Linked DNA regions of Cricetulus griseus. The main gene of each other region encodes a partner of the protein of the gene in region 2 in a complex. Links are inferred from orthologs where the notes say so. Each region holds a gene or a part of one and is shown on either strand. Other genes may lie near its edges.

The links. The genes of interacting proteins can lie anywhere in the genome.
Region 1: Sf3b3 (region 2) and Htatsf1 share a complex: the UniProt entries of both Homo sapiens proteins name them as parts of the 17S U2 SnRNP complex. The link is inferred for Cricetulus griseus from reciprocal best matches to the Homo sapiens genes SF3B3 and HTATSF1.

Annotation. Positions count from the first base shown.
Region 1 is NC_048604.1:15,371,897-15,377,523, forward strand, and holds the end of Htatsf1 (HIV Tat-specific factor 1), read right to left. Parts: intron 4,448-5,627; coding exon 4,358-4,447; intron 3,536-4,357; coding exon 3,398-3,535; intron 2,883-3,397; coding exon 1,581-2,882; 3' UTR 1,257-1,580; downstream 1-1,256. UniProt on the Homo sapiens protein: Component of the 17S U2 SnRNP complex of the spliceosome, a large ribonucleoprotein complex that removes introns from transcribed pre-mRNAs.
Region 2 is NC_048596.1:187,228,511-187,234,241, reverse strand, and holds part of Sf3b3 (splicing factor 3B subunit 3), read left to right. Parts: intron 1-983; exon of another isoform or gene 984-1,071; intron 1,072-1,285; coding exon 1,286-1,423; intron 1,424-2,372; coding exon 2,373-2,476; intron 2,477-4,257; coding exon 4,258-4,423; intron 4,424-5,396; coding exon 5,397-5,492; intron 5,493-5,731. UniProt on the Homo sapiens protein: Component of the 17S U2 SnRNP complex of the spliceosome, a large ribonucleoprotein complex that removes introns from transcribed pre-mRNAs.

The DNA of each region.
Region 1 (5,627 bases), on a different chromosome or scaffold from region 2:
ATGGAGGGCCTCATTATCCTTGGGGAGGAATTGGGGGGGTTGGTGGGGAACATGGGAGGATGGGAGGGTGAGGGAATGGGGGGTGAATATGTAAATATGAGTGCCTCTAAAATAAAAAAAAGTAAGAACTTGGAAAAATTGGCCAGGTTATGGGGACAGCATACCCTAATTGAAACACAGACACGCGTATGCGTGTCAAACACAGGCACACAGGTACAGATGGTAAGCTGCTAGGGTTGGCAATGCTGACCATCAAGTCCAAAAAGATGGGGAATTGCCATATTTCCCATCTACAAATGGTAAGGAGTTTTTGCCAACCAGTGTTAATCCTTCTTAATCCCCCCAAACAACTGATCAAATGGCAGGGTCTGGATTTTCAAGTTATGCTTTTCTGAGACAGGGTTTCACTATGAGGCTGAGGCTGGCCTGAACCTATGGAGACCAGGATGACCTTGGATTTGCAGCACCACTGACTCTGCCTCTCAAGGGTTGGGATTACAGGTATTTGCTGCCACTAGAGTCAAAATTACACACTTCCCACCAAGACCTCTCTTGGCAGAGTTGTATACCTAATTTATGTTGTAGAACTGCACATTCCAACCAATGTGTATAGAAGGCAAAGCATGCCTTTCCTTTAGAGATTGTCTCTAGTAAGTGGGTGTTTGAGCATTGATGGAGTTCACTGCTCCCAACAGAACTTCTAGACACTACATTGTTAGAAAGTTCACCAATACTGAATTGAGAAAGCTCGATCAAGGATGATTCATAATTGTATTGGGGCAATCTGACATGGTACAATACTAGGAACTGTGACTCTAAAACAAAACACAAAGTATATTCCTAGGGAGAAAGTTCTTAATCTCCAGAGGAATTCATGGGCCTCTCCAAACTGTATATAAGAAGCTGTGTAATGCTTGTGCGTACATTGTTCTGGAGAGAGAACTCATCTCTTTAGTCATCTTCTAAACCAGCATAGTCAACCTCTGATTACCTTCTATTTTCAATAATTGAAGGTATAGACCACATTGAATTCAGTTTATACATCTTAGTCTTAATAGAAAGAGTAAAAAAGATAACATGTAACTTCCAAGGATTGGGGAAAGGATCTAAAATGTCATTTATCTTGTGACTTTAGGACCATGTTGTACTGCAGAATGGGGAAGGTTATCCCAAATGGTGACACAGGTGGAAACAAGGACTGTGGGAGGAATCAAGTGATATTTGATTCAAAACACATATCAACTCAAGTCCACATCTCAGTTTCTGCATATTATCAATTTATCTTTATTTCTGAATATCACAAACTCCAATTAGGATACTTTAAAAATATTCTTTTGCATGCATTTAACAAATCCAACAAAACGACAGGTATCCAGTTTCCTTGCGTTAAACTATGAAGTTTTAACTGAAGAACCAATAGACACATTTAAATTCATTGTTATAGGTAAGAACAAAAACCTTCGAGACATTAGTCTGATGGCATCCTACCACTATGCACTTGTTGATGTAACACTACTACTGATCCTGAAGCACAGGCAAACAGAGACGCAGGGCTCTCCCTAAAAAGCAAGTGGAAAGGATTACATTTCATCATCATCATCACTACTGAGGGCAAAGCTGCTGTCGGTGGACTGAGACCCATCTTCCTTCACATTCCCCATAGTCCCTCTCTCATCAGAATCATCAAACAATTTCTCACTGGCATCTTCTTCTTCATCAAAAAACTTCTCATTGGAATTATCTTCAAATAGCTTGTCATTGGTATCTTCATCTTGCTTTACATCTCTATCTTCTTCATCTTCCTTTTCATCGGAGTCATCAAAGAGCTTGTCATCTGTGTCATCTTCTTCCTCTTTGTCATCAGCATCTTCACACTCCTTTTCTTCTGCTTCTTCTTCATCCTCATTCTCATCAGACTCATCATCAAAAACCTTTTCATATACAACTTCTTCCTCTTCTCTGTCTTCTTCCTCCTCTTCCTCCTCTTCCTCCTCCTCCTCCTTTTCATCTGAGTCTTCCTCAAATTCTCTCTCAGAGCCTTCCTCACCTAACACTCTTTCAGAGCCTTCATCACCTTCTGATTTGTCAGTGTCATTTTCTTCTGACTCTTTCTCAACATTTTCAGGGAACTCCTTGTCAGAGGTATCCTGGTCGAAATCTTTTTTAACACCATTTTCTTCTAATTCCTTGTCAGAGTCATCTTCATACAGCTTTTCTGGGCAGTCTTCCTTGGATTCTTCCTCTGAGTCATCATCTTCAGACTCTTTCTTGAGGCTCTCTTCCCCTTCTGACTCTCTGCTGAGCTCATTGTCTTCAGACTCTTTTGCCAGGCCATTCTTTTCATAATTATCTTTGCCTTTCTTCTTAGATTCTCTGTCAGGGCCATTCTCTTGAGATCCCATTTTAGGATTCCCCTCTTCAAGCTTGCTCTCAGGGTGGCCCTCTTCACTCTCTCTCTTGGGGTAGCCCTCTTCACTCTCTCTCTTGGGGTGGCCCTCTTGATACTCTGTCTTGGGGCAGCCCTCTTCACACTCTATCTTGGAGGAGCCCTCTTCACCCTCTCTTTCAGGGTAACCTTCCTCGTACCCACCTTCTTTAGCATCTTTTTCAGAAGCATCTCCTTCAGATTCTCCCCCATCTTCTGCTTTTTCAAACTTCTTTTCATCGATAGGCTCTTCAAGTGCTATTCCAGTTGTAGCTTCCTGAGCACCTGTGGTAGACATGCTCAGGTGCTCTGAAAAATGCCTTCCTCTGGAAGGCCCTGCCTGTTCTGAAGCAGAGACAGAATCCATCCGCTGGAGGCCTCTGTTGGCCTCAGGGGCATTGAGGAAGGACTCCCAGCCTCTCAGCCTTTCCTCTCTCTCTCTTGAGGTCTCCTCTACCTGTGAATAAACAGAGACTACGGTTAAGATGAATGTTAGGCAAAAAGAAGCAACAACTTCTCTGGGAAGTTCTACTATTGACACAAGTACCCTCGTTCTATAAAGCAACTTTTCTAAAGCAATCCATGCATGTCCTTACTCTGGTCTTCAAAACTATATACCTGTTTACACAACCTTACACACAATATACCTGCAATAAAATCATATAAATATATGTGACTATCCCAGTACTGTTGAAATGTTCCACTTCCTAAAACATTACTATTGGAGCTCTGTACATTCTCTTTAACAAGAAAGATGAGGAATAGTTAGCACTCTTCTATTCTTATCATTCTGAGGTTAAAACCTCCAAATTAAAGACTTACAAGCTGAGAAGTGATAAGAATTTCTCTATCCTCTAATGCAAAACATTATTTACAAGATGTATTATACAAAACAGATTAAAGCAACCTCCAAACTAGATCTACAGTTGACAAGGCAACAGTTCCTGTGCCCTTGAGAGCTGCAGGATTTACCTGGTAATCTGTAGTCCCATCCCAGGCTTCAGCAGTGATTTGACGGCCACCAAACCACCTTCCATCAAGAGTTTGAATACAATAATCAGCCTCCTCTGGTTCCCTGAAGGACACAGAGGCCACACCATCTGGGTGCCTCTAAAAAGACAAGAAGAAGGAGGACTGAATGACAAGATTAAAAATCAGATACACATTTCATAAGACTGATAAAGAGTAGTATTCTCCTGAAACTCTGAACTAAAAGACTTCTGAAATCTTTCTTCCCTTTTATTCCAGCCAGTGGTCAGCTGCTTCTTTAGCTTCATTTTGTCTAGCAAGAACCAGTACAGTGCCCTTGCAAATGTTTCTGTTAACAATACTACCCAAGAGCTAAGGCCATGTAATTGTTTGAGTGTGAATTTGAGATTAAAGCCTGCCTGTCAGGAACTGAACAAGCACTTCTACAAGTACTTCTACTTCTACTTGAAAAGATGTGGCTTCCTTATCTGTACAGCTAGTAGCTACCTACTTCAAAGGGTTCTGAGGGTTAAGCAGCACAATGTATAAAGCCCCTTGCAGCATACCAGCAATACATTGTAAGAAATGGTCAGTTAAGTACTTTCTATCAGTCTTGGAAGTACAGAGAAAACTAAACAATAGTTGTTTTTTTTTTCCTTGACTATGATCAGGTGAATAACAGAGAAAGGCAAGAACTTTGAGGAAATTGATATTCCATACATTTTTATTCTAGTTGCTCTCACCTGATCACATACTCTTTTAAGAGTCAGAAGGAAGGGAAATAAACTTGGCACATCAAAACAATCCAAGACTTGCCTTGTAAACCATGTTCACTGACTGAACTATTGCTGACAGACAGCAGGCCTGTGATATAAAAACACTAATCTAAAATCCAGGGCAATCTAAGTCACTTCCTCATCTTGGAAAGATGTCAGGCCTTACTGGTGCAAGCCATGAACTTACATCAAACAGAAGGAGCTTCTTAATCTGTCCAAACTTGGCACATTCTACTCGAAGGTCTTCTCTGATCTCATTGAGCACCAATGGATCATCCTGCAAAAACAAACATGATTAAGATGGAGTTCCCTCCTTCTTAATTCAAGAACCAAATTTATTACTGTGTCAAATTAACATGAAAAAGTGCTTTGCTTAAAGTTAGGTACATTTGTCTGCAGACTACAGTAATAGATGAAAAAGTCAAAATAGAATTAAGTTAGATGACTTCACTTACTGCTACTGTTCAGGTCTATTCACATTGAGAGAGAGAGGAAATGGAGAAGTATGGCAAAGAGAAGGTCCACAGTATCAAAGGAAATCTATATACTTATACGTGTGTGTGTGTGTGTGTGTGTGTGTGTGTGTGTGTGTGTGTGTGTGTGTGTGTGTGTGTGTATTGTTTTAAAGTACACAGGAAAATGTTTTTGCTACTTTCCCACATGAATGTGCTAAAAAAGCACACACACACACACACACACACACACACACACACACACACACACACACACACACACACACACACTCTGAAGCATTGCTGGTACCACTGCTGGTCTCCAGTTCAGAAGGATTCTCCTCCCATAAGTCTGGAAGGATTCAAGACTCCAAGTAATGATGAAGAGAACTCTATGCTTCAGGGCATGTAAAGGGTCAGAAGGGAACACATCACCTCTGTTCTACAGTAGCCTAATGCTTCCCTTCTCCAAGATTCTTTAACCCAGTAAGCTATACATGGAGCTTACTTACCTAAATGTTACACTGACTAAGGTGCTGGAGAATGACCATGTATGGTTACTAGGAAAGTCCTTATTATAATTAATCTCCCTAGCTCCATCTTGTTTTTTTACTAAGGCCATAGAAATAATAATCTTACATGTAGCTTCTCACATTGCGTATTTCTACTGGACTACGCTAATGTGCACAAAAATGAAATCTCCCTTCATGTTGGAGTTCTGATTCTTCATTTCTTGATATTCAGACTTTCCAGGCAAAGTATTTTTAAGTAAGGCTTCAAACTGAACACTGAAGCCATCTGAAGTTACATTATAAAATTATCCTTTATTATATTTACCCTGATCCCAGAGAGCATTTTTAGGTATGTAACTTCTAACATTACTCAAGTATCTGGAGTAAAAATATACCCCATCCTTACAAATATAAGTTCTTTCTGATACTTTAGGGTAATTCAACAATGCTGCTTTTGTTTTCCTCTAAAAAGTTTAATGTTGGTGTCTCTTCT
Region 2 (5,731 bases):
TCTAAAACCGGTATTTTTAAAAGGGGAAATTGCAGTTTTGTTTATTATTTTCTAACCAGGAATAGGCTCAAAATTTTCAGTTTAGTTCAGGATAAACTTGTCTTTCTGTAATCCTTGTGTCCTTCCAAGTGACAGGATTACAGACATGTGCTACCTTGCCTACTTTATTCAGCTCTTAGACCCAAGGCTTTGTGCATGCTAAGGGAGCACTCTGCCTATTGAGCAAATTATCACTAAAGCAGTACCTACCTATTAATTGTGAGGTTATAGAATACGATGGTGGTCTTTGAGATTTGTAGATATTCTTTGCTCTGCAGTCTTCATCCTGTGGATACATTACTGATCTTATTTTGAATCACTTCTTACATTGTTTTACTTTAGCTTTGAATTATTTATTTTTAATATTGGCTCTGGGAAAAATATTGCTGGGTTAAATCTTATAGGATTTAGTTAGTTGGTCTGGGTAGAAGTCCATCAGTTTCCTAAAAACCTAAGTAGAAATTGAATCTTGGTAAAAACAGTGAAATCAGACTGTTGATCAGACATTTACTGAGCATCTGACTGCTGGCAAATTGTATTCATCTTGGGGCAGTAGAGAGCTACAGAACTTCATATTTTACCTGCAGAAATATTTTATAAAATGTTAACATTAAAAACTCAAAGCACTGGGACTGGAGAGATGGCTCAGAGGTTAGAAGCACTGACTGTTCTTGCAGAAGACCTAGGTTCAATTCCCAGCACACACATGGCACCTCACACCTGTCCGTAACTCCAGTTCCAGGGGATCTGACAACCTCACAGACATTACATACAGCCAAAACACCAAAGCACATATCCAAAAATAAATTTAAAAAAACCCAAAAACTTAAATAACAGTCACCTCTAAGGGGTAGAGTGGGGACTTGGTGCTACACCGGTTGGTTAGTAATGGATTGTCATGGTAGTTTGAATGAATGTGGTTGTTGTTCTTAAATTTTTATTCACAGCCTGAAATGATGACTTTAATTTCATGTCTCTTCTCTGACATTTTTCTCTGGAGATGATTTTTGCTTTACTGATCTGATCAGGCTGTAGAATGGAATATTAGCTGTTTCTTTGTTCCTGGGTGTTTAGTATGTATTTCTAGCAGACAAGTTTTAGTTATTTTGTTCAGTTGGCAGCTACTGTGGTTATTATTTGTATGTTAGACCTTGATGGTCTGTATAGTTCCTATTGTTAAAGTACTTAATTCTAGAATAAAAAGTACCTATTTCTAAGATGTTGATTATATATTTGGCCTTACTAGAATGACCTGGATGACCCTGAAAGAGGAATGATTTTTGTTTGCTCTGCCACCCATAAGACCAAGTCCATGTTCTTCTTTTTGGCTCAAACGGAGCAGGGAGATATCTTTAAGATCACTTTAGAGACAGATGAAGATATGGTAAGTAGACCATGGATGGAGGGGGGAAATATGTATCTGTTGTAGTCTATTTTTAATTTGAATATAATTTAAAACTCTTGTCTAAAGTACTTGGCTATATATACATGTAAGATTTACAAAGCTGCTTTGCAACCATCATAACTTTTCCCTGCATTAAGATAGGGAGTAAGTACACCTGATACTTGACAAGTCAAAAAGAGGGCTTTTGCCTTGTCTTCTTGTTTTGTTCTATTTGACTGTGGTCTCATGGAGGCCTGCTTTTTTTTTTTTTTTTTTTTTTTTTTTTTTTTTTTTTTTTTTTTTTTTTAGAGGAAATGGAGTGGGAGTGAATCTGGGGAGAGGAGGGGAGATTGTGGGGGGCTGGGAGAAGTGGAGGGAGGGAGGGGAACCTCACTGGGATGTATGGTTATGAGACAAAAACATACTTTTAATTAAAAGAAAGAAAGAAAAAAGAAATTTAGATACCTTAGAAAATGATTACTTTTACTTTTGGGTTTGAATGTGAAAATGGGTTTTCCTATTCTGGCTAATGAGTATCTGGTCTTGTAAAGCCATAACAATAATTGATGTGAATAGGAGAAAGCTCTTCATGTCTCGGTAGTTGATAAAATGCATGGTATTTTATTGACGTGATCCTTAACAATGGACATTTAGTTACCTAGGTACTGTTTAGTTGGGAATTGCTAAGATTTGTAAAGGTTAGGTAGTCATTTTCAATTTTTCTGTGTCATACAGACTCAGTCTAAATTAACTTTGGCATTGAAACAGAAAGAGCAGTAGACCCAGCAGTCTGAGTTATCATTTGTTCCCTTTTCGTTTAGATACTGAGCATGGTGGGGTTTTGTTTGTTTGCTTGTTTTTGTTTTTTTACTTAGTTCTGCTTGTGGTGCATAACAGCAGGCTTCTGTGGCCAAGCTGCACTTGCCTTTACACTAATCTTTTTCTCCAGGTAACTGAAATCCGCCTGAAGTACTTTGATACTGTACCTGTTGCTGCTGCAATGTGTGTGCTTAAAACAGGCTTCCTTTTTGTGGCATCAGAATTTGGAAATCAGTGAGTAATCCTTTTATTGTCCCAGTTTACCTTGGTTACCATAAATAGTAAAAGTTGGCAGAAGGGAGGTGTGGTTGGTGTGGTTTCAGAGCTAGGGAGGTTTTCACAAAGTAGTAAAGGTTTTTCAGAACAAGTAATTGCTTTCATTTTCTCTTTGTTTACATTTTCCCCAGCCCTTCTTTTCTATTGCATATTCTCTCTCTTATTTAATAAGTGTTTTTTTTAAAGTTATTTAAAATTTTATGTGTATGTCTGCTGAGTATGTATATACACCACATGCATATAGAAACCTGAAGAGGGCATCTGGAACTGGAGTTACAGATGATTGTGAGCCATCAAAATATGGCTGCTGGGGAGGCTGGAGAGATGGCTCAGAGGTTAAGAGCACTGGCTGCTCTTCCAGAGGCCAATTCCCAGCAACCACATGATGGCTCTCAACCATCTATAATGAGATCTGGTGCTCTATTCTGGTATGCAGGCAGAACACTGTATACATAATAAATAAATCTTAAAAAAAAAAAAAAAAGATATGGATGCTGGGAACCGAACTCAGGTTCTCTGTAAGAGCAGCAAATGCTCTTAAACTACTACCTTCCCAAGGCTTCCCTCCAGTCCCATTTTTCTGTTCTTTTTTTGTGTGTGTGCTTTATTTCATGGCTTCAGTCACTGCCTCTGAATGTCTGCAAAAATACCTTTAGCTGAGTGTATGGTGGTACATACCTGGATTCCAGCACTTGGAAGGCCAAGGCAGGAGAATCTCAAGTTTGAGGTCAGCTTGGGCTACATAGTGAGATGATTGTCTCTAGAAAACTAAAAACCAGAGAGATTCCTACAAGAACTTCTTGTGCAGACCTAAACTTGAAGGTCATTAGTACCTACACTGCCTGCCCACATCACCAGTGTGCCATGATCAGGATTTTTTTGTTATTGACTAAAAGAGCCACTTCTAGTAATTTGTAAGTTCTTAATTTATTTTTCCTCTACTACTTTTAGTCAAATGCAGAGTTCTCTTTTTACTTCTTTTTGTGGTTTCAATCTAAATTTAACTCGATTGGGTTTCCTGCAAAATCCAGTCTTCATAGAGTTGTCTCCATGCCACCTCAACAAATTAGAACAATCCTTATTGACATATTTCCTGTATCTCTGTATTAACAGTATTTGGTGAATTTTCACTGCCAAATGGAAGAAATCTCAACTGTAATTGCTATTTAAAACCAATATCCACAACTTCAAATGACATAAATGACAAGGTCTTGCCAGTAGCTGCTAATATGTATGCAGAACACTTACTAATTTAAGCTCAGTTTTCTCATAATTAAAATACAGATACTTTCTAGGAGATTGTACTATTTCTGCCTTGTCTCCAGTAGAAGCATGTGTGAGTATATAGGCCAGACCTTACTGTCAGGTATTTTCCTCAAGGCTCTTTACCTTATTTTCTGAAACAAGGTCTTGGGTTGAACCGGAAGTACACTGATCCATGCTTGTCTCCCGAACTCTGAGATTATAAATGGGTATTACTGCATCCTGATTTTTACATGGGTGTTGGGCATGTGTACTTAGGTCCCCATGCTTGGATGTTAAGCACTCCTCCAACTGAGCTATCCCTAGTCCATACTCTTTCTTCAACATGCCATTTGCCTAAGTACCTTTTTTCATCCCCGTTGAAGTTTTTACAGCTAACTTTGAATCACATCCCATTTCTTAGTATACTGAAATCTGACTATGCTTAATCGTTTATGCATAACCTGTGTCAAAGAAAGTTCTTTGCTTTTTCCCAGCTACTTATATCAAATTGCCCATCTTGGAGATGATGATGAAGAACCTGAATTTTCATCTGCCATGCCACTAGAAGAAGGAGACACATTTTTTTTTCAGCCAAGACCACTCAAAAACCTTGTGCTTGTGGATGAACTAGACAGCCTCTCTCCCATTCTGTTTTGCCAGGTATGACTTTATTCAATCACCTCTACACTGTGCCATCTTGTTATTAAATTGAAATGTGATCATTTAAAGTTTTCCTCAGGTTGAATTGTAGTCTTAACAAACAACTTGTCTGTGGAATCACTGCTGTGAAAAACTGGTAGTTAAAGGAGTTCAGGGCCTAAACCTATCAGTCTATGAGGGGTGTTTGTTTTGAGACTCTGTGTAGCTCAAGTCTAGTTGTGAACACACTATTCTACTGCCTCAGCCTCCTGAGTGCTGGGAGTACAGGGTTAAGCTGCCCTGCCTGACTAATTGTGTAAGATTGAAGTTCAAGACTGTCCTTGGTGCAATTACATATGAGTTGGCTAGCCATATCAAAAGCATATGTGTAGATATATAACTATTAATGGGTCTAATAAATTTTTGAAATAGTACTTAAGGTAATTGGAACACCTGTAAACTTATGTTAAAATTGTTTTTATGAGTGACAAAGTTATAATCAATGTAATTTGACTCTTTTAAGTGGAAGAAAACACTAATTTCAGATGCAGGTTATAACAAAACTTCATTTCACTAAATGTCAAAGTTCCTTTTTGACTTCTGAACAAATTACATAAGTGTTTGGTTTTTCTTGTTTTTTTTTTTTTGTTGTTGTTGTTGTTGGTGGTGTTTTGTTTTCGTTTTTTTTTGTTTTGTTTTGTTTTTCATGACAGGGTTTCTCTGCATTCCTTGCTGTCTTGGAACTCACTGTGTCAACCAGGCTCAGGCTGCTGGCTTCTTCCTGCCTCGGCCTTGTGAGTGCTGGGATTAAGTGTGCCACCGCCACCCAACAGTGTTTTGTGGGGTTTCGTTGTTTGTTTAATGTGGAACACTAGGGCCTTTTCTCTTATCCCAGTCAGTAGCCATTATATAACTTTAAACCAGAGAATAGTTTGTCCTTTCATAGTTGTATTTGAAAGCTTAGTACAATAGACATTTTCCCCTTGTTGTGCAGATAGCTGATCTGGCCAATGAAGATACTCCACAGCTGTATGTCGCCTGTGGTAGAGGACCCCGGTCATCGCTGAGAGTCTTAAGGCATGGACTTGAGGTAAGATGGGAATTTCTTGGTTCTCTTTATGATGTGAAAGGAAGGTCTGCACAGAACATTGTACAGGCTAACTTTGAGGAGGTCAAAGATAAACTACTGTTTTTATGAACAAATATGTACTTTCTCTTGTCCCTGAAGTTTATGGAGTTCAGATTACTTTTCCCTTACTAGTTCATTCCCTATGACATCTTAGCGGAAGTAAATAATATTTTCCATGACCATTTGAAGTTAGAGTTTGT